Rattus norvegicus: one gene and its partners. The protein of the gene in region 1 interacts with the protein of each later gene in a biochemical or structural test. Links are inferred from orthologs where the notes say so. Each region holds a gene or a part of one and is shown in the gene's direction. Other genes may lie near its edges.

Evidence for each region.
Region 2: the proteins of Ube2d2 (region 1) and Znrf1 form a complex in vitro, tested with the Homo sapiens proteins (2 studies listed by BioGRID). The link is inferred for Rattus norvegicus from reciprocal best matches to the Homo sapiens genes UBE2D2 and ZNRF1.
Region 3: the proteins of Ube2d2 (region 1) and Ube3c form a complex in vitro, tested with the Homo sapiens proteins (4 studies listed by BioGRID). The link is inferred for Rattus norvegicus from reciprocal best matches to the Homo sapiens genes UBE2D2 and UBE3C.
Region 4: the proteins of Ube2d2 (region 1) and Rnf168 form a complex in vitro, tested with the Homo sapiens proteins (3 studies listed by BioGRID). The link is inferred for Rattus norvegicus from reciprocal best matches to the Homo sapiens genes UBE2D2 and RNF168.
Region 5: the proteins of Ube2d2 (region 1) and Trim32 form a complex in vitro, tested with the Homo sapiens proteins (2 studies listed by BioGRID). The link is inferred for Rattus norvegicus from reciprocal best matches to the Homo sapiens genes UBE2D2 and TRIM32.
Region 6: the proteins of Ube2d2 (region 1) and Bfar form a complex in vitro, tested with the Homo sapiens proteins (2 studies listed by BioGRID, with this or other methods). The link is inferred for Rattus norvegicus from reciprocal best matches to the Homo sapiens genes UBE2D2 and BFAR.
Region 7: the proteins of Ube2d2 (region 1) and Siah1 form a complex in vitro, tested with the Homo sapiens proteins (3 studies listed by BioGRID). The link is inferred for Rattus norvegicus from reciprocal best matches to the Homo sapiens genes UBE2D2 and SIAH1.

The regions. Positions count from the first base shown.
Region 1 is NC_086036.1:27,669,399-27,672,898, forward strand, and holds part of Ube2d2 (ubiquitin-conjugating enzyme E2 D2), read left to right. Parts: intron 1-1,975; coding exon 1,976-2,007; intron 2,008-2,087; coding exon 2,088-2,165; intron 2,166-2,245; coding exon 2,246-2,351; intron 2,352-3,500.
Region 2 is NC_086037.1:56,485,728-56,488,562, forward strand, and holds part of Znrf1 (E3 ubiquitin-protein ligase ZNRF1), read left to right. Parts: intron 1-807; coding exon 808-913; intron 914-2,835. UniProt on the Homo sapiens protein: E3 ubiquitin-protein ligase that plays a role in different processes including cell differentiation, receptor recycling or regulation of inflammation. Mediates the ubiquitination of AKT1 and GLUL, thereby playing a role in neuron cells differentiation.
Region 3 is NC_086022.1:6,323,846-6,327,345, reverse strand, and holds part of Ube3c (ubiquitin protein ligase E3C), read left to right. Parts: intron 1-1,608; coding exon 1,609-1,779; 3' UTR 1,780-3,500. UniProt on the Homo sapiens protein: E3 ubiquitin-protein ligase that specifically catalyzes 'Lys-29'- and 'Lys-48'-linked polyubiquitin chains.
Region 4 is NC_086029.1:82,010,507-82,014,806, reverse strand, and holds the start of Rnf168 (E3 ubiquitin-protein ligase RNF168), read left to right. Parts: upstream 1-1,500; 5' UTR 1,501-1,515; coding exon 1,516-1,822; intron 1,823-4,300. UniProt on the Homo sapiens protein: E3 ubiquitin-protein ligase required for accumulation of repair proteins to sites of DNA damage. Acts with UBE2N/UBC13 to amplify the RNF8-dependent histone ubiquitination.
Region 5 is NC_086023.1:84,019,213-84,023,431, forward strand, and holds the start of Trim32 (E3 ubiquitin-protein ligase TRIM32), read left to right. Parts: upstream 1-1,419; 5' UTR 1,420-1,476; intron 1,477-4,219. UniProt on the Homo sapiens protein: E3 ubiquitin ligase that plays a role in various biological processes including neural stem cell differentiation, innate immunity, inflammatory resonse and autophagy.
Region 6 is NC_086028.1:2,057,822-2,062,040, forward strand, and holds the start of Bfar (bifunctional apoptosis regulator), read left to right. Parts: upstream 1-1,419; 5' UTR 1,420-1,511; intron 1,512-4,219. UniProt on the Homo sapiens protein: Membrane-bound E3 ubiquitin ligase that plays a role in several processes including apoptosis regulation or reticulum endoplasmic stress. Has anti-apoptotic activity, both for apoptosis triggered via death-receptors and via mitochondrial factors.
Region 7 is NC_086037.1:36,572,665-36,576,164, forward strand, and holds the end of Siah1 (E3 ubiquitin-protein ligase SIAH1), read left to right. Parts: intron 1-1,197; 5' UTR 1,198-1,199; coding exon 1,200-2,048; 3' UTR 2,049-3,109; downstream 3,110-3,500. UniProt on the Homo sapiens protein: E3 ubiquitin-protein ligase that mediates ubiquitination and subsequent proteasomal degradation of target proteins.

The DNA.
Region 1 (3,500 bases):
CTAAACTGTTCTTTTTTTTTTTTTTTTTTTTTTTTTTCCTTTTCTTTTTTTCGGAGCTGTGGACCGAACCCAGGGCCTTGTGCTTGCTAGGCAAGCGCTCTACCACTAAGCTAAATCCCCAACCCCTAAGCTAAATCCCCAACCCCTAAACTGTTCTTCTTTTTTTTTTTTTTTTTTGGTTCTTTTTTTTCGGAGCTGGGGATCGAACCCAGGGCCTTGCGCTTCCTAGGTAAGCGCTCTACCACTGAGCTAAATCCCCAGCCCCCTAAACTGTTCTTCTTTTTGGTTCTTTTTTTTTTTTTTTCCCCCGGAGCTGGGGACCGAACCCCGGGCCTTGCGCTTCCTAGGTAAGCGTTCTACCACTGAGCTAAATCCCCAGCCCCTAAACTGTTCTTCTTAATTTGAGTATGTAGACCCTTTCTGCCATATGCCAGTGTTACTTAAGTATATTTTATGCAGTTGTTTTAAGGAATGATTAAATCTTGGAGGTAGGCTGGTTTTGGTGGTGCATGTCTTTATCCCAGCACTCCGAAGGCAGATCTCTGTGGGTTTTGGGGAAGGGGGTTGTTTGGGATTTTTTTGTTTGTTTGTTTGTTTGTTTGCTTGTTTGTTTCATTTAGATTTATTTAATGTATATGAGGACTCTGTCAGCATGAAAGCCTACGGATCAGAAGAGAGTATCAGATCCCATCATTCGTGATTGTGAAATGCCGGGTAGTTGCTGAGAACTGTACTTGGGACCTCTGAAAGAACAGCTAGTGCTTTTAACTACTAAACTATCTGTCTAGCCCTGATCTCTGTGAGTTTAATGCCAGCCTGTACTATAGAGTGAGTTCCTGGACATAGAAAACCCCCGTCTCAGAAATAGAGAGAGACAGAGAAGAAAGTCAGTCAGTCAGTCTTGGAGGCAAATAAGTAAGTTTTAATAGTACCTAGGTAGGGCCTTTCTATGGGCTTTGTCAACAGATTTATCTTCCAGGCATGACTTTGAGATGAGTTTTTGTTGGTTAGTTAGGTTAATTTTGTGGCAGAATCACTGTGTAGCCATGGCTCGCCTGGAACTCACTATATAGACCAGGTTGGTCTCACACCCTTTACTTAGCCAAAGAGAAATTTAAATTTAGCATTGTGTACCTCAGCTTTGTCAACATTGTTGTAGGCATGCTATATCACCATGCTTAGTTCCAAAGACTTTATATTTACTTTATGTGTGTGTATGTGTACATGTACAAGACATATTTGGAAGCCAGAGAACAGCTTGGGAGCAGATTTTCTCTTGCTCTGGGAATCAAACATGTCAGGCTTGATAGCAAACCTTTTCTTACTGAGCCACCTTTCTGGCCTCAGAAAAATGCCCTGGATCTTTATAGTTTTGTTGGTGGTTTGGTGGTAATGATGTGTATAACATATGTTAACACACGAGTTCTTCTGTTTGGAGACCAGGAGAGGGCATTAGATCCTTTGGAGCTAGAATTACAGGTTGTTAGAAGCTACTCTGATTCAGAGTGTGCATACTTAACCAGCTGAGCCTCTCTCTAGCGCCTCCAAATATTTTAAAACCAACTGTCTGATTTTTTTGTTTGGTTTTGGTGGGGTTTGTTGTTGGGGTTTTGGGGATTTTTTTGTCTTTTGTTTTGTTTTTGTATTGGTGGTTGTTTGGGGGGGCTTTAGAGATAGGCTTTCTCTGTAACTAGAACTCAAACTCTGGCTGGACTCTAATTCAGAGATCTACCTGCCTCTGCTTCCAGCGGCTTTCAGATTAAAGGTAGGCACTGCCACACCCTGCTGACTTGTCTGTCTCTTATTTTTAATGGTTTAATCTTCATCCTGCCCATAGAAACTAGGTGTTATCATACTATTTATAAATAAACTATTTATAAATGAGCTTTGATTCGGTACTGGGAATGAGAGGTTCTACGGTGTAGGTGTAATGCAAATATTGTTAATTAATATGGTGACTTTTTCTTTCTTTCAGTGTTTCATTGGCAGGCTACAATAATGGGGCCAGTAAGTATTCACTTTAATTCCTTAATTAATAATTGTTTTATGTAATTTATTCATTTTTAATCTCACTCTCTTATCAACAGAATGACAGCCCCTATCAGGGTGGAGTATTTTTCTTGACTATTCATTTCCCAACAGATTACCCCTTCAAACCGCCTAAGGTAATTAGTATATGATCATTGCTCTTAAGATGCTCTGTATGGTACTGGTAAACCAATCACAAAGATTTCTTTTTCTTCAGGTTGCATTTACAACAAGAATTTATCATCCAAATATTAACAGTAATGGCAGCATTTGTCTTGATATTCTACGGTCACAGTGGTCTCCAGCACTAACTATTTCAAAAGGTAATGCAATAGTTGTTTGGTATCAAGGTGAAATAACTGATTTTTATGCAGGGTGTAGATGTGTACACCGTTGATACCAGCACTGGGGAGACAGAGACAGGCAGGTTTCTAAGTGCCAGGGCTGTGTAGTGAGACCCTGTCTCAAAGAGGAAAAAGTAACTGCTTTTTTTTTTTTTTTTAAAACAGGTCTCTGTTGGTCTATCTTGTTAAAATTATCTTTTTTTAAATTAATTATTTTTTGTATATTATATCTGCATGTATATCTTTGCTCTGTGTGTGTGTGTGTGTGTGTGTATGTGTGTGTGTGTGTTGCCCCCAGAGGCCAGAAGAGCGTGACCTGTTAATTGAATTATAGAGTTAGAGTGAGCTAGCATATGGGTACTGGGAAATGAGCAGCCATTGTTCTTAACTGCTTAACTTCTTTCCAGTCCTGGCTTTTTTTTTTTTTTTTTTAAATAACTCCTGTTTCCTTTTTAAAAGGACCAGTCTAGGGCTGGAGAGATGGCTCAGTGGTTAGGAGCACTGACTGCTCTTCCAGAGGTCCTGAGTTCAATTCCCAGCAACCACATGGTGGCTCACAACCATCTGTAATGGGATCTGGTCCCCTCTTCTGGTGTGTCTGAAAAGAGTGACACTGTACTTACATAGATTAAATAAATCTTTTTTTTTTTTTTTTTTTTTTTTTTTTGGTTCTTTTTTTCGGAGCTGGGGACCGAACCCAGGGCCTTGCGCTTCCTAGGCAAGCGCTCTACCACTGAGCTAAATCCCCAACCCCTAAACTGTTCTTCTTAATTTGAGTATGTAGACCCTTTCTGCCATATGCCAGTGTTACTTAAGTATATTTTATGCAGTTGTTTTAAGGAATGATTAAATCTTGGAGGTAGGCTGAAAAGAGTGACACTGTACTTACATAGATTAAATAAATCTAAAAAAAAAAAAAAAAGGCTGGGGATTTAGCTCAGTGGTAGAGCGCTTACCTAGGAAGCGCAAGGCCCTGGGTTCGGTCCCCAGCTCCGAAAAAAAAGAACCAAAAAAAAAAAAAAAAGGGACCAGTCTCCCTTAGTTTGTAATAGTATTTGTTGATACAATGGAAAACAGTTGAATTTTGGAGAATTGGTCCATAGTAAGATGCAGGTTGTTGATTGTGAT
Region 2 (2,835 bases), on another chromosome or scaffold:
ATTGTGACCATGTGCCCTGCTAGCTTGTAAGATCCTTCAGCTCAGAAAAGCACACACAGAATCTCATTAGTGCTCACTGGATGTTCTGCTATGCTCAGGGAACTTCATGGTGACTCGGGGTCAGGGCATCACAGTCCCTGCCTGTGGCTTCATTGCAGTTTAGTCTAAACTTTGTCCTGGAACAGTCTCTTTATTCTACTGTCTGTGCATGCTGTCCCTACATCTAGACTGAAGGGAAAGTCTCCACATGTGGAAGTTCCCATTGGTTTGTCCCTATGGAGACACCTGATAGACACTCTGGGTCTCACCCCTCTCTAGCGTTGCCTTTTCCTGTGGCGTGTCTTAAAGACGTACACATGCCTACGCCCTGCCCTGGCTAGCACATGTGCTGTTGCTGCATGGTCAGAGTTGGCCTCCAAGTGAGCGCTCCTTCTCTACCTCTACTGCCCCTTAGCTAAGCAAAGGAGCCTGAGGTTCCACAGCACAGCCTGAATCTGCTCCTGGGGACTTGGTTCCATCCCCGCCGGTGACTCCTTGGGTCTCTTTGCGACCTGTCTTAGCAGACTTCCTGAAGTTCCCCCAAGCCTCTGGTGAGCAGTCTGAATAAGCACTTTGTCCATGCCCCTGGTACCCCAGTCAGAAGGCTCTTCTAGTTATCTGCATGTTTCTCCCATTGCTGTGTTCCGTACATACCGTGCGTTCCAGACACATAGTGGTTTAGGTCTGTAAGTAGCTCATAGACCTGTGTGCTCTGTGCCCCCCACATGCTGGTGATTAACTCTGTTGGTATCCCCATCTCTCTTGCAGATGATGTGCTGACTAAAGATGCGGGTGAGTGTGTGATCTGCCTGGAGGAGCTGCTTCAGGGGGACACGATAGCCAGGCTGCCTTGCCTGTGCATCTATCACAAAAGGTACAAGGGCCTGGCAGGAGCAACTCTGCCAGATCCCACATCTGATGGATAGATCCCCTTCACCAGTCATCTAGTCCTCAGGTTATGGGATGGCTTGTATACTCTTTGCTCTCTGGTAGGGGTCAGGCATCTACTATGCTGACCTGAAGGCTCAGTCATAGCAAAGGCAGAACAGAAGGGAATTGCTCAAGGTTCAACTCTGTGTGAGCAGTTCAGATGGTAGGAGCCAGTGGGTAGGCCTGGCTTGGAGGTATCAAGGGGAGAGCTGGTGTCCTTGCTGGTCTGTGTGGCACCCTCCTCTCCCAAGGGCTAGGAGGCAGGAAAAGCCACTACCTGTAAGTACCAAGAGCTGCTATAATTAGCCAGGCCAAGATTTGTCCTCTGCCTCCAGCGGTCCCCTCTGTCTTTTTCCTAATTGGAAAGAAGACACCTCCTTGTCCAGGACAGCAGTGAGTACACCCTGTGTCCCTGGGCCTGCACCTGCTCCCTGCTCCTCCAGCCCACACTGTTTCCTGGCACAGGGACTTTCCTAAGCCCAACTCAGGACTGCTGGTTTTCAGTGTCATAGTTGTTCCTGGCGTGTGATTAGTCTGGGGAGAACTGTGGTTCTTGGTCTGGCACAGATCCCTGCAGCATCTCAGGAAAGCACTGGCACTAACCAGAGCCGTAAAAGGAAAGCCCTGGCCCTGGGGAGACCTAACCAGATCATGTTTAGTTGCTGTTTGAAATGTCCAGATGTAAGGGGTTGGGGATTTAGCTCAGTGGTAGAGTGCTTGCCTAGCAAGCACAAGGCCCTGGGTTCGGTCCCCAGCTCCGGGAGGGGGGGGGGGGGGGGGGGACACGACACTCTGCCACTGAAATGTCCAGATGTGGCTTTACAGCCGGGGCAGTATCGTGTGGTACTTGCTGTTTCTTTTGCTGGAGTTTTGCTGCAGACACTCCACTATGAACACTGGAGATCGAGGCCTTACTATACCCCCTACCCTGGCCCAAGCTCACATATTAGCAACGTCAAAGAGCCCCAGGGTGTAGCTCCCCTTCCTCTTGTTATATCTCAGCTGGGTAGACTTGGGACTCCTGAGAGGGTGCCCTCATCACCCAAGATCTAGTCACCCTCATCACTGGCCAGCCCCTTGTATCTGGTCCTACTTCCTGCCTCTCGGATCTTAGAGACAATTAGGCTGCTGCCCTGTGTAGTCCACCCGCTCTCACCTTAGTGTTGTCCGTTGCTGTCCTGGGCTCCCTGTACCCCGGCTTTGAGCTTCACAAGGCCCAATCTCCCAGAGCCTGTATTCTGCTGCTGCCTCCTGCCGAGCCAGGATTGATGCTCTAGTTTCCCTTTTTTATTTTTATTTATTTTTATTTTATTAATCTTTATATTAATTAGTTTATTGAGGTGAGGTCTCACTATGTAGCTTTGGTTTTCCTGGAGCTCACTCTGTAGACTAGCCTGGCCTTGAACTTAGATTCACCTGCCTCTGCCTCTCTAATGCTGGGGTTACAGGCATGCACCACCCACTATCAGCACACCCAGCTTATTTTTCTATTTTATGCACATGGGTATGTTGCTTGCATGCATTTACATGCACTACATATGTGCCTGATGCCCACTGAGACCAGAATAGAGTACTGAATCCTCGAGACCTGGAGTTAAAGATGTTTGTGAGCCACTGAGGGCTAAGAACTGAATCTGGCTCTTCTAGAAAAGCAGCTAGGCCTCTTAACTACTGAGAAGCCCTCAGGATTATTCTTTTTTTAAAACTATTGTTTTTATTAATTTTAAATTATGGGTATATGTGGGCATCTGTGTATGTGTGCATTAGAGCGCAGGAGCCTATAAAGGTCAGAGGGGTGAGGTCTCTGGAGCTGGATCAGGCTCCCATCTGCCCTCCCACCCTTAGGATATCATTGTTGATAATCTT
Region 3 (3,500 bases), on another chromosome or scaffold:
GACACATCTACATGGTTTCTAAGTTTGGTGTGACTACTGAAGTTCATTTGAAGTATCCAACTGATCCTTGCTGTCCCCTCTCTCTTGAATGTTTGTTCTCCCTCCCCCTCCCCCTCTCTCATGCCCTCCTTCCCTCTATCCCTCCCTCCTTTTCTTTCTCTTCCCCCCCCAACTTTCCCCCCCTCCCTTCCCCCATCCCCCTCTCTTTTGAGATGGGGATCTTACTCTGTAATGTGGCCTGACCTCAAATTCTCAGTTCAGTCCTAGACCTGTCTCAGATTCCTGAGGTGGGTATAAGGCTGGAGAAATGACTCACTGTTCTTACAGAACACCCACATAGTGCCTCACACTGGCTATAACTATAGTTCCAATGACCTGATGCTCTTTTCTGACCTTCTTAGGCACCAGGTTCACATACACATTAAACAAAAATAAATTACTTTTTGGGGAAGGGGGGTAGCTATGGGTGGTAGCACATGCCTTTAATCCCAGGCAGGCATATCTATCTATGAGTTTGATGCTAGCCTGGTCTACAAAGAGAGTTCTAAAACAGCCAGGCTGTTACACAGAGAAACCCTGTCTTGGAAAAACCAAGGCGGTAGTGGAGGTGGAAGGGGGTGAAAAGTGCATGCAGCTTGTCATTTCCATTTTGCTCTAACCACATCAAACAATTCATCATTTTGCTACAACTTGGAGCTGAGTCCTCTGTAATTAAAAGAAAAAAAAACAAACAAACAAACAGGGAGAGGGCTTAGAGATTAAGAGCAGAGAGCCCTGGTTTAATTTCCAGCACCCACATGGCACTTCAGAACTGTCTGTAACTCCACTTCCAGGGGACCCAACACCTTCACACAAACATACATGCAAGCAAAACACCAATTCAAATGTACACACTGGGGGGTGTGTGTGTGTCTGTCTGGAGAGGTAGCTCACAGGTAAAAGTACCAAGCCTGACAACCTAAATTCAGTACCCCAACACATGTAGTAAAAGTAAAGAACTGACTGCTATAGTATAGTTGTCTGCTATACTTCTATATGTTCTGTATGTGCCCACACACAAATATACACAAATATAATTTTTAAAGATATTTAAAACCATAATGAAGTTGAGCAGTGGTAGTGTATGCCTTTAACCCCAGCACTCGGGAAGCATGTAGGTCTGAGTTCAAGGTCAGTAGCTCTACAGATGGAAATGCTGGACAGTTGGGGCTATACAGAGAAACCCTGTCTCAAAAAATCAAAAATACATATATACATACATACATACATACATACATACATACATACATACATACAGTAACAAAAAAGGCAAGTGTCTAGAGAAGTGGCCCAGTGGTTAAGAGCCCATACTGGTCTTGTAGAGGACCCAAGCACCCATGTCCAGCAGCTTACAACCACTTGTAACCTCAGCTCAAGGGGTATCCAAACACCCCTAGGTACTGGGTGACGCCCTTACATGACAGACACACATACATGTACATACACAGAATTTAAGATAAGTACTTTTTATAAGAAAAAATATTTTTGAGAAAAGAAGCTTCGAGAATAACTGGTGGGCTCCAGGCTATGCCAGAGTCCTCTAACCATATCCTGTGCTCTGTCTTCTAGGAGCTATACCCTGCATTTTGCATTCACAATGGAGGCTCTGACCTTGAGCGGCTACCTACAGCCAGCACCTGCATGAACCTGCTGAAGCTCCCAGAGTTTTATGATGAAGCCCTGCTGCGAAGCAAGCTGCTGTATGCCATCGAGTGTGCTGCTGGCTTTGAGTTGAGCTGAGCTGAATTGAGCCCAGGGAACTTGATCTGACCCAAAGGCAGCCAGCACCTACCAGACCCAAGAGAGCACTCAGGCGGGACCCTCGGCTCTCCTCAGGCCTTCTATCTGGCATCCCTCCCTTTCTGATTTTTTTTAAGATGGTTTTATTGTGACACAGTCACATACATAGATGGACATTTGCTTTTCACATAACCTAGCTATTGTTATGTGCTATGTGGCTGGTTTAGTAATTTTGCCAAGAAGAGCACAGGTTTTAGAATAGTGGCAACTCAATGAAATTAACCAAAGATGAAGCTCTGGCTTTGCTGATCTGGTTTATATCCCCTCCTGGGTCAGGCACCAGTATCTGTAGACAGAATCTGGGGCTGATACACAGAGCCCCGAGCCACTGCTTCTCATGTGGTTGATTGTTTACAAGCCTAATTGTAAAACTGAAGGTATTTTTTCCTGCTGCCTTTTCCCAAAGTGGTTAGGTTTGGAAAATGGATAACTCTAGTATTATTTTATTTGTGCTTTTTAAGCCATGTCCCCCACCCAGGTGGGAATCGCATGCTTGTCTTCAGACTCCTACTGACCTGCATCATGAGGTTTGGACATGGCTGTGTGGGTGAGAGGTGACTGCTGTCCTCATTGCTCTTTCCTTGTCTCTGCTTTGTGCCTGGGAAGCTTTCCAGGAGGCAGAGAAGGAGCATCCCTATACTTCCTGAGGTACTGTGTCACCTGTAGTGAGTTGGCAACTGGGGGATGTGGGCACTGCAGCTTTTATTAAAGTCATTTGAACCAAAGTGGCAGGCTGCGTCTCTCCGTGATCCACATGCTCTCCTGGCCTAACAGTGCTGCCCATCATCTTGCGCATCTTGGGGGGATTCATCCAGGCCTCAGCACCTTTGTTTTCTGCCGCTGTTTTAATAAGAAGACAGCATCCCTGGCATCTGTCAGGGAAGAGCATCAGGCCAGGTGATTCTCATTTAGGCACTTTATCAGGGTCCAGCTTGTTGCCAGTTGACCTCAGCTTCTGCAAACAGGAATCAGGGAAGCATCTGGGAGGCTAGCATGCAAGGATCATGGAGCTGGTGAGGACTCCAGACTGCTTCTCATCCAAGTCCAGCATCGTGCCTAGAGGCTCGGTAACCAGAATTAGCAATATGCTTTTAAATGTGGGAAAACTGAATGACACTTTTAAGACAATGACAATTATCAGACAAAATGTATAATTTCTTAATTTGAATAATAAAGTATTTAAATGCTATTTGTAGTCCTGACACATAGGAAGAAATAGCATTTATCCTTGATTTTGTTTTTTGTTTGGGGATATTTATATTGAATGTCCTACATCTTTTTATTAGTTAATTTGTGTATTAGTATTTTAGAATTGACGTATCTGAGACTGAAGATAAATTGGCAGTTTGTTTTTTTTCTGCTGGCTCTTCTGAGCTTATTTATTTGTACGTCCTAATGGATGAATATCTACATTAAATCTTTTCCCCAAGATTGTGTTGGAGTGCTGCCCCAGGTCAATGGCCAGTTGTGTTCTGCTGTAGTCAACTTACTTTCCCAGGTCACATATATCTGCAATGTAGGAAGCCACACATCCTGTGATACCTTGAATTCAGCCATTTGGGATCAGTATCGTCTCTGGAATACTCACCAGGAATAAGGTGCTCAGGCACTCAATGGGTCTTATATTAAATTACTGAGAAAAAAAATAAATCTTCCTAAAG
Region 4 (4,300 bases), on another chromosome or scaffold:
CTGGAACCAGTTATGTAGCAAAGGCTGGTTTATAATAATTCTTTAGTGGCTACTTTCCCAAATGCTGAGATTACAGAAATGTGTCTCTTTGTTGAGCTCTTCAGACTCAACATACCAAACCCAATAGGCATTTACTCATGTTAAAGTCTGGGGTATAGGACCAAAGCTAAACACCCCCAAAACCAGGAGGGAAGCAATAACAGCCAATCTCTAAACTGCTGAGCTTTAGCCAGTACCATAAAGATATTATCACCCCCACTTTAACCTTTAACAAGTATTCTTTTTTTTAAAGATTTATTTATTATATATAAGTACACTGTAGCTATCTTCAGACACACCAGAAGAGGACATTAGATCTCATTACAGATGGTTATGAGCCACCATATGGTTGCTGGGATTTGAACTCAGGACCTCTGGAAGAACAGTAGGTGACCTTAACCATTGAGCCATTTCTCCAAAGCCCTCCCCTACCCCCCACCCTCCAAGATTCTTTGAAGCCTCCAGTGTAACTTTTTGTTGCTGTTTTCCTTGAACGTCACATGTCTATAAAGCCAATATCTGCTTGTCATAAAGCACATTCTATAAAATGCTAGTGTTGCAAATAAATGCTAACAAAAATCTTTACAGTAAATTTGTTGCAATTTCTTCTTTTAGCACTAAGAACTTTAGAAAGCTTGGTTGGGAGAAAAACAGAAGGGTAGCCCGAAAAATACTAAAAGAATAATTACAAAAATTATTGTTTGTATCTTGGTTTAGAGAGTTACTTTTTAGCCAGCGAATAACAAAATTTCTACAACCTACAGTGGCTGAACCACCAAAGGCGGGAGGAGTTGCTACTGGCAGGCCAAGCGCGAGTGCACAGCAGCTCCCGGAAGTCCCGCCCAAATGGGCGGTTCCTTGGAGGAAGACAGTTTTGGCGGGAGTTGTGACATTTGTAGCGCCTGTGTACCTACTCGGGCCGCGCCTAATAGATCGACTGGCTTGACAGCGAGTCTGAGCCGCTGGGTCTTGAGACCCGGGGGAACCGCGAGGCGGCCAGAAGCTGGAGCGTGGGCACTGGAGGGCTGCCTCCACTGCAACTGCGACACGGAAGTCCAGCGGCGGCCCGAGCCCGGTTTCCGGGTGATCTTGGAGCGGCGGTCTCCGGGCTTCCGGTGCTGGCCGGCTCGGCGGCCTCGCGCAAAGAGGCGGGTCCTCCACTAAGTAAGAAGGGGAGCTGGATGCGACCTTCTGTGGCGCGGGGAGCTAGAACCCCTCTCCGCCCCGAGGCCTCCGCGCTCCGGGAGGAACGTTCTTTCATTCCCTTGCTGGACGCAGGGCATAACTGTTTACCTGACATCACAGCTCCTGTTCGCCTCGGGCCTGTGGAAACTCAGGCCGTCTGGATTTCAGTACGCTGCTGTATGTGAGAATAAACGCCAGAAGGCTCCTGATTTTCTTCATACTTTATGTGCTTAGCCGAAAGACGACTTTTGTTCCTTTCAGCTGTTGACGTTGGGTAGGCCACATTAGCATATGAAGATGGCTGCACCTAAAAACTCCATCCCTTCCTTAGCGGAATGTCAGTGCGGGATCTGCATGGAAATCCTCGTAGAGCCTGTTACCCTACCTTGCAACCACACGCTCTGTAACCCATGCTTCCAATCGACTGTTGAAAAGGCCAATTTATGCTGTCCCTTCTGTCGCCGCCGGGTCTCTTCGTGGACTCGGTACCATACCCGAAGAAATTCTCTGGTCAATACAGACCTGTGGGAGATTATTCAAAAGCACTATGCAAAGGAATGCAAGCTTAGAATCTCTGGACAAGAATCAAAGGAAATCGGTAAGTAAGATTAAACATGTTTATTGGGTAAAATCCAAAATCTTTTAGAAAGGGAACCATTTTTGTTTCTCGAGACAGGGTTCCTCAGTGTAGCCCTAGCTAGCCCCGAACTCAGAAATCTACCTATGTCTGCCTCCTGCGTGATGGGATTAAATGTACTCGACCCCACCGCACTGCTAGAACCATCATCTTTTCTTTTTTTTTTTTTTTTCTTTCTTTCTTTTTTTCGAACCTAGGGCCTTGTGCTTGCTAGGCAAGCGCTCTACCACTGAGCTAAATCCCCAAACCCCCCCCCCCCCGCCTTTTTTTAATATTATTTATTTAATGTGTATGAGTATACCGTAGCTGTGAGCCACCATGTGGTTGCTGGGAATTGAACTCAGGACCTCTGGAAGAGCAGTCAGTGCTCTTAACCACTGAGCCACCTCCCCAGCCCGAATCATCATTTTCTAATTAAAAAAAGAAAAGAAAAGAAAAAGAAGGCTAAGTAGTCTGAATCGTGAGGATTTGTGGTTTTGTAGGCCTTGCCCACACAGACGTTAAAGTCAAGGACAGACTTTATCACATGTAATAATGGTCAACTTGTGTTCATCTACTGTGAATTTAGGGCTTTTTTTTTTTTTTTTTTTGGGTAACATTTTTTAGACATGTTTTGAGACAAGGTTTTATTACTATGTAGCTTGGGCTAGCCTTAGCCTCACACATAGTGGAGTTGTAGCAACTCGAGAACACACCTGCGCTTTATTCTTAGAATTAGTGAGGGTTGGCAACCTTTTCTGTAAAGGGCAGAATAGTATTTTGTGGACTGTATAGTCTACTGAGGACCGTGATATCTGCCACCGTAGACAATACATTAATTTACATTGCCCTTTGTAATTGAAGGCAGAGCCTGTGCTTCCATAAAACTATGAAAAGGAAATGTAAGGGCAGATGTGGCCTGCCAATGAACCATGACTAAATAGCCCCCGTCTTTAGAATATCACTATTACCTTCCTAAGAATAACTATCTGTGGAGGTAGCAGAATTAAGTAACTGCAGATACTCATGAAGGAAAAACTTGAGATCTCTTTTTTTTTTTTTTTTTTTTTTTTTTGGTTCTTTTCTTTTGGAGCTGGGGACCGAACCCAGGGCCTTGCGCTTCCTAGGCAAGCGCTCTACCACTGAGCTAAATCCCCAACCCCGAGATCTCTTTTAAGTATGTATTTAATTGAGTATGCGAGTGTATGTGCACCATGTGCATGCAGTGCAGAAGAGGCACGAGATCCCTAGAACTGAGGGGCAGACCGTTATAGGCTGCTATGGGAGTACTAGGAACCAACCAAACCTGCTTACCCTGAAAGAAGAGTAGGCATCCTTAACCACTGAGCCAACTCTCAGAAAATTCTTACCCTTAAAAGAAGTTCAAGGGTTGGGGATTTAGCTCAGTGGGCCCTGGGTTCAGTCCCCAGCTCCAAAAAAAAAGAAAAGAAAAAAAAAGAAGTTCAATTGATAAATTAGATATCAAGAGGTCAAAAGAGCCTACAAAGTGGAAGAAAATATTTGTTAAGAAAGTAATGCCTAGGGGTTGGAGATTTAGCTCAGCGGTAGAGCGCTTGCCTAGCAAGCGGAAGGCCCTGGGTTCGGTCCCCAGCTCCGAAAAAAAAAAAAGAAAAAAGAAAAAAAGAAAAAAAAGAAAAAAGAAAGTAATGCCTAAATAGAAGCAAGAGGATCACTAAATTCTAGGCCTGGCAGGGATAATTTGTGAGACCCTCTTAAAAATAACTGACCAGGGAAAAAACGCACTTAAAAAAGCTCAGCAGGAGTTTAGCCAAGACTACACAATAAGATCCTGTCTCAAAAAAAGATTCCTGGGGGCTGGAGAAATGGCTCAGTGGTTAAGAGCACTGACTGCTCTTCCAGAGGTCTTGAGTTCAATTCCCAGCAACCACATGGTGGCTCACAACCATCTGTAATACCCTATTCTGGTGTGTCTGGTGTACTCATATCCATTAAATAATATTTTTAAAAAATTGTAGTGTGGGATGAAGGCTTTGTTCAAGCTGTCATTACTTAGGAAAGCATTAATTTCATTAGTGGATCAATCCACTGATAAGTTCATCCCAACTGGGCTGTTAGGAGGCGAGGCCTGTCTGGAGGAAACACTGGTCACTGAAAATGCCTTTGACAGGTATACGTTGTTCTGGTTCCTCTCTGTGTTTCTTTGCTTCTTGACTGCAGTTGAAGTGGGCAACTCTGCTCTACCAAGGCTTTTCACAATTGCATAAAACCATAAATGTAAATTTCCGAATGAGCCAAACTAAACCTTTCCCCTCTGGTGTTGTTATGTGAGGTGTTTTGTCATAGCAGTAGTGGCTAACAGGAAGAAAATTGACAGAGTCTAAATTGAAGAGATAAAGAGATGCAGGCCAGCCTAGCCTGAACTCACAACAGTCTGCCTGCTTCGTCCTCAAGCTAGGACTAGAAGCGAGTGCTACGTGC
Region 5 (4,219 bases), on another chromosome or scaffold:
CAGCAAGCTAGGGAAATTTCTTGTATCTTTTCCAGATGTTATAACATTCTCAGCTTTAGAACTATTGGAAGCTAGTGGTCTTCCACTTTAAGGATACATTCCAACAGTTTTACCTAATAATCGCAAGTCAGAGTCAAAGGTTGGTAATAAGTGCCCATTCAGAGAACTAAAGATAGCTCAAGATAAACTTGATTAAGTGTGTATACCAGGTTTCTATCCTTTCACATTTGAAGTTCTAGGCATTTGGTCAGTCCATAGGATTGCCAGCACAGATAAAATTTCTTCAGAGAACTTCGAGTCACATGTTCTCTGAGCAGGTCTTGGGAGTTCTGGGTGGCTGGATTGGCTCAGGGCTCTAGAATTATCTGAGATAACAACACTGTACTCAGGGTAAAATTGTGTGAGAACTCCTGCATCGCCCAGAAGAGAGTCCAGTTGGAGAATGACTAGCCTGGTTCAGAGTTCCATCTAAACTGATGTCCTGTGGATATAGAACCTTGGACAAGTTGGGGATGGGGGGGGGGTAAATTTGCTTTTCCCATCTTTCTGAGTTCTAGTAATTCATCAAAACAACCCATAATTTTATTTCGAGATAAAGAAACGGAAAAATAAAACAAGGTTAAGAATGCTTCTCAGAAATTAAATCCAGGTTCTGGCAGGTAGAAACTGGTTACTTTGGTCTTTGACCCCTAGGTCTCAGTTTCTTTACCCAAAGTCTGTAGTTTGTAGGCAAGTGTTTAAAGATATTACTGGTTTTGTTTGTTGTCTTATCATCAGTGCAGAGGGTACTCAGCTTGGTGGAATTTCAAATATGAGAGCCTAGTATTTCAGATTCCTTCATATTCCCAACTAGTACTGTGTGTTCATCAGGTTCAAGAGCAGGTATTACCAGTCCCCATCAGGACCTGACCAGTCACTGGGCCACAGAACTGACCATCTGATAAGACTGAATGCAGGCTTTTCCTTGTTTTCTCCCTTTGCTATCCGCCTCCATGCTGTGAGGCAAAGAAAACCTCTTTCCTAAGTGCTGTGTATTCTGTGACTCCACTATGGGATGTGTCACAGGCAGAAAGACCTAGCCTGGGGACCTGCTGCTCTTTGAAGGGAGTGTGCTCGTCTTCCCTACATAAGATTAAAAGAGGCGTCTCTCTGTAAGGTGCCAGAACTTTCTGGAGACTACTACTGAGGGATTAGCATTGACTAACCCTGTTTAGACTCTGAAATAGCGCAGAAAGCTGGATCACACGCTGCAATGGCCTAGGTTTCTGAAGCCATCCCTACCCATTTAGCTGGGCCGCAGGCGCTGGGCCGTGGGCCTACAAGCCCCAGCATGCCTCGGGAGGCGGGGCAAGTTGACAGACAGGCGATTCTACAAATTGGCTATTGCCGTGGGATGTACGCGCTAGCGCATGCGCAGGAGGCAGCGGGCGGGTGGGCTGGCAGCGGTGGACTCGCGTCGGAGCCGCGGGCGGTCAGGTAGGGGGCGGGAAGGAGGGTCTGCGATCAGGGACTGTGGTGGGTCGCGGGGCTCCAAGATTGAATGGCAGAATTTGGGGACTGGATCTGAGTGGCAGGACCGGGTTGGGGAGGGACGGGCTCAGGAGCGATTCGGCGGGGCTGAGATGCAGCTGGGGGAGGGGAGCAAAGGGGCTGAGGAAATTTGCAGTTGCAGCATGTCGGGAGAGAGGTATGAGGTAATGTGGGGGCCATGCGGAGAGACGGGGTGCAGCATGTGTAAGATGCGAGGACCTGAAGTGCCTGGAGGTATCTGGGTGCATACTATCAGAAGCAGAAAGGAATTTGGCAGGCCTGGATGAGATTGGGTGTTGGCGGGCAGAATCTTAAGGGCTTTGAGGAGATCGGTGTAATGGTAGCAAGATCCGAGATCAAAACAGCCAGAGTCTTGGAAGATCCTAAATGCTGAAGAGAAAGGGATTTCTGTAGCGGAATCTGGGAAAGATTGAGGGGTGAGTTCCCAAGGGAATCAGTACCCAGTTAGCAAATCGCAGCAAAGGTTTGAAGGCAACACGTGAGGCAGGACGGGGGCGGGGGTGGGGAGGTTGGAGGTGGCACAGTACAAGATGGGGAATGCAGATGAGGGAAAAGGTTGAAGGAGGCAGAGTCTAAGGTACAGGATTGGAGTTTGGAGCTGCCATACGTGGGTGATAGGAGTGGAAGTTTGAAAATAGATGAAAGGATGTAGGGAGTTTGAAAATAGATGAAAGGATGTACCAGAGGGATGTGGGACACATAAGAGCTATTGGTGAGTTGCAGGGTTGCAACATACACAGTCTAAGAGGTTGAATTCTAGATTTGGGATTTATTGTTGAGAATGGGGTTTGTAAAGGATTGAATGGTGGGGAGTGAATGTTGTAACTAGATTGTACAATTCAAAACCAGGTGAAATTTCTGAGACCACTAAAGGAGGTGTTTGTTTGTTTGTTTGTTTTGTTTCTTGATTTCTGCATAATTGAACCCAGAGGGTGTTCTGAAGACCCAGGGACCTGAAAGTAATTTATAAATAAACTATGCATGAATGAATGGAATTTAGGAGAATGTAGGGGTTTGGAAATAAAGACACTGGTCTTCAGAAATCCTGAAGGAGAGTTTGACATTCTCTGAAGGGCAGAGTCTTCCTCACTTGCTAACTAAAGGCCCTTTAATCCTGAGGCAGACAGGTATTCTCACTAAATCCACTCTGACCACCCCAACTTCCCCACCACAGACTCAACATTATAGGCCTTGGGGAAGAACAATAAACTACCTAGGGGCTTTGCTACTTATCCCTTTCTCTGTACCCCTAAGCCCTCAAAGGTATAAGCCAAAATTATCTTAGATCTGACATCATTTTATAGAAGGTCTATTATAGCACAAAGAGGCAGTGATTCTATGAATGAAGTATTAGAATTGGGCGAGAAACAAAACAGGGTTGGAGCAAGGGAGAGCCTCACATGTACTGAGTATTTAGACTGTATCATTACCTAAAACCATAGTTCTCAGATAGGGTGGTTTTGTTCTGCCAGGAAACATTTGACCATGTCTGGATGGAGGCATTGTCAGTTGTCATAATTGAGGGGTTGTGGGGGTCTACTGATTTCTAGTGAACAACCCCCACAATAAACTGTCACCTAGCCAGAAATGCCAATCATGCCACAAATGAGGGACCTAGCAAGAGAGTCAAGAATTCTGGGTCCAAATCCTGGCTTTTTCTCTTCCTGCTTTGAAATCTTAAGACTTATTTGACCTCTCAATGCACAAGTTTGACCTCTCAATGCACAAGCTCTTCAGAGACCTGCATCCTAGGATTGCTGTACGGACTCAGTGAAATAAATCGGGGTACTTACTGTCTAGTGCCTAGTAAGTGTTAAGAATTTACTACTCTCAAAGATCTATGTGTACTTTCTTCTCATGGCAGTCCTTCTAAATATACTTTCTATGTCCAGTGTGACACATGAAACTAAGGCTTAGGAGATCACTTGTGTAAAGCCACATCACCAAAACTGGCAGAAGTAAACTGCCGTGTAAATTGCCACCACAGAATCTCCCCTCTTGCTTCTTTGCTGCAGTCGTCTTGGTCCTCCCTTTTCAGACTTTCCTAATGAAAAGGAGGCTTGCCCCATATTCAAAAGTGGGGTGACTTTTCTTGATCAGCAGAAGCCCTGGACTTTGTTCTTGCTTTGCTCTTAGACCAGAACCAGTGGGGAGATAGTGCAAGGAGTTTGGAGCTACGAAGCTGAGATAAGAAGACTCTGGCCCAAGGACAGTGCTAGACTGAAGGAGACTGCTCTGAATACCCTCCTTTGTGTATTTTGGTCTCAGGAACAGAAAGGTAGCATTGTCTTTATCAACTCCAAACCTAGCTACATTACAGGAGGCAATTTCCTAGTTAAAATCAGACTGGAGCTGAGGGCAGAACACTTGACTGTGATATCCACACAGATCACTTCTGGAAACACATGATGGAGCAGGTTCAGTTAGCCTTGGAATCAGGTGTTTTACTGCTTGTTTGGTGGTCAAGCACTAGTCAGCCTCTGTCTATAAACAGAGTGAACTCCACTGAGTGCTGACTAGTGTACATTCTCTCCATAAAGCTCACAATGTAAATGTTGCTCTTGATTCCATAAGGTGGGAAGTTAATAGGTAAGTTGCATGACATATCCTGGGCTTCAGAGCCTATGGCTAAGTGGGCATGTGAATCAGAAGTCACAAGTTGGCAAGC
Region 6 (4,219 bases), on another chromosome or scaffold:
TTCAAGTGCAGCTTGGTCTACAGCTTGAGGTCCAGGACAGCTACACAGAGAAACCTAGTCTCCAAGCAAACAGGAGTATGGTGGGACACACCTGTAATCCAAACATCTGGGGAGTTCATTCGAGAGGAACTTGAATTCAGGACTAACCTGGACTACAAAGGCTGTGTCTTAATAAGAAAAAAAAAACTAATGGTAAATTCTGTTAATATATCTCCTACCACAATGGGGGAAAAGTTTATACTTTATTGGATTACTCTCCAGAAAGTAAATTCTGCTGGCACAGATCATTTTTACTCGTTACCAATTTGAAAAGAACACTCTTATTTATTTATTATTTATTTATTTATTTATTTATTTATTTAGAGATGGCTGATCTCAAACTCACTCCATACCTAAGGGGTGGCCTTGAACTTTTTTTTTTTTCAAGACAGAGCTTCTCTGTACAACACAGCCCTTGCTGTATTGGACTCACTTTGTAGGCCAGGCTGGCTTTTAAATCACAGAGACTGGCCTGCCTCTGCCTTCTGAATACTGGGGTTAAAGTACTACCATGCCAGACAGACTTCAACAACTTCTTCTTCTTTCTCCTTCTCCTCCTCTTCCTCCTCCTCCTTCTTTTCTTCTTCTTCCTCTTCCTCAGATTTATTTATTTTATCTGTATGAATATACTGTAGCTGTCTTCAGACACACCAGAAGAGGGCATCAGATCCCATTACAGATGGTTATAAACCACCAAGTGGTTGCTGGGAATCAAACTCAGGACCTTTGGAGAGGCAGTCAGTGCCATCTCTCCAGCCCAGCCTTTAACTTCTACTCTTCTTGCCTACTCCCTGCAGTTTACACCAGATCTAAGAAACAGAAACTTAAAAAAAAAAAAATTAAGTTTCACTATGTAACTTTGGCTGTCCTGGAATTCACTCTGTAGGCTAGACTGGCCTCGAACTCACAAGAGATCCGCCTGCCTAGCCTGGTGTCACAATGTCATAGATTGAAAACACAGCACTGTTGAGTTCTCAACAGATCCAGATCAAGGTGGGTAGCTGCAGAGTAAACGAGATAACGTCATTTTATTCCAAATCCCGACCCTAAAAATGAAGCTTTAAGAAGGGTTTTGTGGGTATCTGCATAAATGTGAAGTTAAGATTTATTATGGTGCATACGGGGCACTGTGAGAGACTCTGATATCTGAATAATGCAGCTAAACAAGGGAAAGGTAACACCTCCCGATTCCCGGGCGATGACGTCTGCTTGGCTCGGAAGGAAAAGAGGAAGGGGCAGGACGCTTTGCTGTGCATGCGCCCGCGGGTCGCTGGAGCAGCCGCTCTAGGCAGCAGGGAGGTCGCGCAGGGTTAAGAGCCTAAAGCGGTCTCTTCTCTATGGTTGCAGGAGCTGGTCAGAGTCGGTCCGCAGTCCTACGTTATTTCCGGAAACGAAGCCTGCCGCTTGTCCTCTACTTCCGCGGGGTCCTGGCGGGTGGCAGTGACGGAGTGGGTCCCAGGACTAGTGGCGAGGTGAGCTTCGGCACGGTGTGTGGTGGGTAATGAGGCGGCAGGGCGCTTGGCATGAGAGTTTGGCGCGGGAGACCGAACTGAACCCGCTCCCGGAGCGGCGCTGGCAGGGTGGGCCCAGACCCTCGGGCCTCCTCACCCTGGCCTGAGCACACCGGCAAGACTGCGGATCCCAGCTTGGCAGTTCCCCTTCCCTTCCGAGGCGAAGAGCCATTCCACCGCGGGTCTCTAGTCCTCGCCTTCCGGGTCTGGGTCAGAGCCCCTCGGAGGGTGACAGAGAAGGGGGTCTTGTTTCCACTCATTTAGGGGCTACGGGTGCCCGCCACGGCCGCTAGATCGAGGCACCTTCCTATCTCAAGGCAGAAGGTTCATAATGGGAAATAAGGATAACGGAACATCAGACTCCAAAGTGACACTGGGGCTTGTCTTCTCATTCCCATAGTCAAGACTCAGAAACCGTATGCTAAGGAGAGCGCGCGTGCGCGCGTGTGTGTTTAAAGACCGAGACGATGTGTCTAACTGGGGATCTTTAACTGGGCAAGGTGGGGGGCACCCATAACTTTGGTTGAGAAGAGAAAGTGGGAGCCTTATGCTCTCAACTGTCGCCGTTGGGTCCTCCCCACGGAATCCCATTGGTCCGTCCTTGGAGTGGCCCCAACGTCACACCAGGAGAGACCAATACGAAGGAGTTTTCCTCTCATCTTTAGGTACGGACTGCACGTGCCAATGAAGTTTTATTTTTGTCACTGCTATTTTATAAACAGCCTGGATGTATCCCGACCCAAGTGCTCGTTGTATGCCTGGGTATATCATCCATAAACCTGATAGGAAAACCGTACTCTCTCGGAGGCTGTTTAGACACACACACAACACACACACCCTTTTTCCCCTTTCCCTCTGGGGTTATAAATTCTAAGCACACTGTAGCCAGCATTTGGTAAAATGTGACTGTTAATAATGCTATTAATAACAGTCAGCAAACTTTTTACCTATCTGTGGACGCAGTTTGACATCTAATTTGACAACAATTCTTTAGCGTTGATATCAGTGCGGACTGATACACGGGAAAAAAACGAGGCTCAAAGAACAAGGGGTGACCAGATTGGGACCCCAGGTTAGCCTCACTCTGAAGACTTAACTTTGGGTTTTGGTCTTTTTGTTTGTTTATTTGTTTGGGTTTTGAGGGAGGGGGAGCCTGGGGTTGGTGGTTTTGTTGTTTGTTTGTTTTGTGTTTTTGTTTTTGTTTTGTGACAGGGTTTCTCTGTGTAGTCCTGGCTGTCTGATAACTCAGACCAGGCTGGCCAAGAATGCACAGAAATCCACCTGCCTGTGGAGGTTAAATGCCACCATGCCTTGGTTTGTTTTATTTGTTGAGAAAGGGTTTGTGTAGTCCAGGCTGGCCAAGAATAATTCTTGGACTTCTGATGTTCCTGGCTTTCTGAATTGAGTAACAGGAAATGGAGAAGGGAGAAAATGAAACTCTGAAGTGACACTGGGGCTAGAGTTTCCCTTTTCTGATTCCCAGCCCATGACTCAGAAATCTGAACTGGTGCAAAAGAGAGATTTTTCTGAGTGCTGATAGTAGGTGTTACCACCTATTATGCCCAGCTTATGCACTGCTAATGATAGGAGCAGTCAGCAAGCACTTTGCCAAACAGTCCAAGAGATTAGGGAACACAGAGAAACCTTACACAGTTAACTTGGGTTGGAGTGAATTAATTATCAAAGACCATCTGGATCTTGTTCGTGGATACTTTTAACTTAGAAATCTTAACAGACAGGAGTGTGATGATCCATATAAGATAGTTATTGACAACCATGTTGATTACGCCAATTAAAAATGTTAAGTACTTTTTATTGATGGCAAGACCAAAATGGGCTTGTGCCTCTAAAGACACAAACCTTCAAAGTTAGATGAGGATCAGAGTAACCTTAAACTTTCATTCCTGGCAGGGCAGAGTCTTAGATGTAACCTCAAATGGGTTGCCAAGACCGACATTGGGTTGGGGAAAGGGGAAAGACAAATTCAGTCAAAACAAGATGGCATTACCTTAGTCATTTCAAGAAGAGTATATGAAGATACACTCAAGGAACAGAAATGTGTACATGCTCTATGAACAGAGTCTAATCCTGGTAATAGAAGTTCTTGTGGAACCTATTGTTTGCTAGGAACTGTTCTGAGTTCTGATAAATGGTTATTATCCCCATTGTATAGGTGATATAAAGAAAGGTAAATGACTTACCTGAGATCAAGCAGCTAGTGGTTTATTGAGCTAAGATTTAACTTGATCATTCTGGCTCAAGAGACTGTGCTATAAGTGAGAATGTCAGTTTGGCAGCCACACATGATGGTGTCTCAGCATTAACAAGCCAACACCTGATGGCACAGGCTTTTAGTTATTGGGTAGACCAAGGCAGGAAGATTGCAAATTCAAAGCCTTAATTATGTGGACTGGGCTGAAGCTACTGCCTCTGTAGTAGAGTATATTTAGAGTGAACAAAGTCCTGGCTTCAGTTCCCAGCACTAGAAAAGTTAGTTTACTACTTCACCATGCATATTCTTCACTGAATAAAACCACAACTGCTTTATTTTGTTTTATTTTGTTGTAGTAGGGAGTGTTGTTTTGAGATGGTCTCATGCATCACTCTCTGGCTGGCAAGGGGTGACCTTGAAGTCCTAGTCCTTCACCACTCAGCTGCTGTGATTACAG
Region 7 (3,500 bases), on another chromosome or scaffold:
TGACTGATGGGAGACAGAAGTGATACCTGGCTGCCTTAATAAAAGACTGAGTAGACGTCTGCAGGCAGATAACAGGATGGCAGGGTTTCCTTCCCCTGTGACCTCTGAGCCCATTCCCAGAGCACAGTTCTAGTGATGATGCTGTTCATGCTGGGAAGAGTTGACCCGGCTCTAATGGTCTTTGGCATATGAACTTCATAGGACTAAAGCAGTAGGTCCTGAAGCTATGAGCAAACTCAGACTTGAGAAAAAATAGATGGAGGTGGAGACTCGGGAAAAAAGTCCAGCCCAAATAAAGTTTATATTGTAATTTAAGGTTTTCTTCTTTTAAAAAAGATTTGTTTTTATTTTATGTGAATGGGTGCTTTGCCTGCATGTCTATCTGCTCATAATATGTTTGAGTGCCCTGGCTGCCTCTAATGAGCAGCCATTTGGGTGGTGGGATTTGAACACTGGTCCTCCGGAAGACCAACCAGTGTTTTTAACTGCTAGGCCATCTCTCCAGTCTCCAGCCCTGTATTTAATTTATATTCCTCCTCTTCCCCTCCTCTTCCTCCTCTTCCTCCTCTTCCTCATCCTTTCCTCCTCCTCCTTCCTCCTTCCTTTTTTTTCTTCTTCCTTCTTTCCTTTTCTTCTGCCTCCTAAATGTTGGGAGTTAAAGGCTTGTGCCATCTTGCCCAGCTGTATTTAAGTTCTTAAGACAAAGACAGTTTTGTAGTTCTTTATTGTTTAGGAACTTTTTTGAAATTAGGTCTTCATATGTAGTCCTGCTTGGCCTGAAACTATGTATGCAGACCAGGCTGACCTCGAACTCCCTGATCCCCACCTGTATGTGTGTCTGCAGTGCAAGGGTTAAAGGTGTGGCCACAATGCCTGGTGCGATTCTTATTCTGTGTAGTCCACCCAGAGATTTCCACTGCTTTAAGAACAAAAAAGTATTTTAAACATGCTGGAGAACATTTTGGAAATACAGTTTACTCATTATATAACTCCAGAAAATTAACCTTTAGCGTTCAATTTTTATTTTATTTGTATATGGATTTAAAACTATATTTACTTAATTTTATTCTTTTATTCACGATAAATTTTGTGGTATGCTTTACAAGTATTTATGACATGTATACATACATATCTACTAATGTGTTATATTTGTAACTTTCCCCCTGCTTCCTTTTATTTTCTTGTTTTCCTTTACAGAGATGAGCCGTCAGACTGCTACAGCATTACCCACCGGCACCTCAAAGTGTCCACCATCCCAGAGGGTACCTGCCTTGACTGGCACAACTGCATCCAACAATGACTTGGCGAGTCTTTTCGAGTGTCCTGTCTGCTTTGACTATGTATTGCCACCTATTCTTCAGTGTCAGAGTGGCCATCTTGTTTGTAGCAACTGTCGCCCCAAACTTACATGTTGTCCCACCTGCCGGGGCCCGTTGGGATCCATTCGCAACTTGGCTATGGAGAAAGTGGCCAACTCCGTACTCTTCCCTTGTAAATATGCCTCTTCTGGATGTGAGATAACTCTGCCGCACACCGAAAAGGCAGAGCACGAGGAGCTCTGTGAGTTCAGGCCTTACTCCTGCCCCTGCCCTGGTGCTTCCTGTAAGTGGCAAGGCTCCTTGGATGCTGTCATGCCCCACCTGATGCATCAGCACAAGTCCATTACCACCCTGCAAGGAGAAGATATAGTTTTCCTTGCTACAGACATTAACCTTCCTGGTGCTGTTGACTGGGTGATGATGCAGTCTTGTTTTGGCTTTCATTTCATGTTAGTCTTGGAGAAACAAGAAAAATACGATGGCCATCAGCAGTTCTTTGCGATTGTACAGCTGATAGGAACACGCAAGCAAGCTGAAAATTTTGCATATCGACTTGAGCTGAATGGTCATAGGCGGCGATTGACTTGGGAAGCCACCCCTCGGTCTATTCATGAGGGAATTGCAACAGCCATCATGAATAGTGACTGCCTAGTGTTTGACACCAGCATTGCACAGCTCTTTGCAGAAAATGGCAATTTAGGCATCAATGTAACTATTTCCATGTGTTGAAACGGCAATCAAATATTTCTGGCCAGTGTTTAAAATTTGCATTTGACTTCACAGAGAATAAGGCACCCATCTGCTTGCCAACCTAAACCTCTCCTGGTAGGTAGAAGCTAGACATGAAGGTAAATAAAAAGAAAAGCTGTTAATACAGGAAACAGTTGCATGTAGTAACACTAATATATTTAAAAATAATTCAACAGTAAACCACTGAAAAATATATATACCCAAGATGGGCATCTTTTGTATTAAGAAAGGAAACATTGTAAAATATTTCTGAACTTTGTGTTTGTTGTAGATTGATTGTATTGTTGACAATTTTTTGGGGGTGTGTGTCTGTGCACGCATGCGTGCACGTGTGTGGTTGGTTTTCCTTTAACTGACAAGCCATCTGCGTGGTCATGGGCCACCGCTTTCCCCTTGTGAGTCAACACACAGTGCTGCTGTGGGGTTGTTTTTTGTTTTGTTTTTTGTTTTGTTTTTTGGTGTGTGTGTATTTGCTAATTTTTATTCTAGTTTTTCATTAAATAAATTTGACTTTCTTTTCTGTAATTCAGGTTTTTCTCACTTTTGTACCTTTTAAGTTAGCGTCTTTTTGATATCCATAATTGCTTAATGTCAGAAGTTTGTGTTCAGTACATACTTTCTTTTCCTTCAATCAATTTATTAGACATTTTTAATTCAGCCCTTCTGTGGAAATAGGAATTCCAGAAAGGAAAGGGAGCAGAGCAGCTCGTCGAGGCTGAAGCAAGTACAGGATGGTCTCGCCTCCCGACTGCTGTCCTACGCCGTCAGGTCAGGCTTACTCTCTGAAAGGTTAGCTTAGGGAGTAAACTCTGATCACTATAAATTATAAAATAATCAGGCTTTTCCTCTCTTCAAATGTCTTGGGCAAATCACATGTTTAAATTGGTTCTTGTATTTATTGGTTTTGCAAAAGAGTGCATCATCATACACAGTATTTGTAATTAAAGTAAATCATTTGTTTTTAAAAAAAGGCAGTTTGCAAAAAAATGTTTTTGGTCTTTTATAATTCTCATTAAAAGATTATCTGGCAAATTAAAAAACATTTTAATGTGTTTACTTTAGCTCTAGGTTTTTGTTTTTGTTTTTTGTTTCCCTGGAGCTGAGGACTGAATGTAGGGCCTAGCACTTGGCAGATGCTCTACCCTGAGCTACACCCTCACCCTGTGGCCCTAAGATGGATAAACTCCAAAGGTAGTTTCCTGTTCCGGTCTGTATTTTAGAGCAGAGGATTGTATGCCACTGTTTGAAGTATGTTTTATTTTAAATCACAGAAAAGACTGGACAGCTCTCCCTCCCACTTTCATTCCATTAGGACATTGGGAATATGACTAATTAATGCTGATTATTCTTTTCCTTTGTGAAAAAAGGTGAGTTATTTTATCCTTTCCTAGCTCCAGTGGTGTGGTACTGACTCTGCAGTCTGATTTTCAA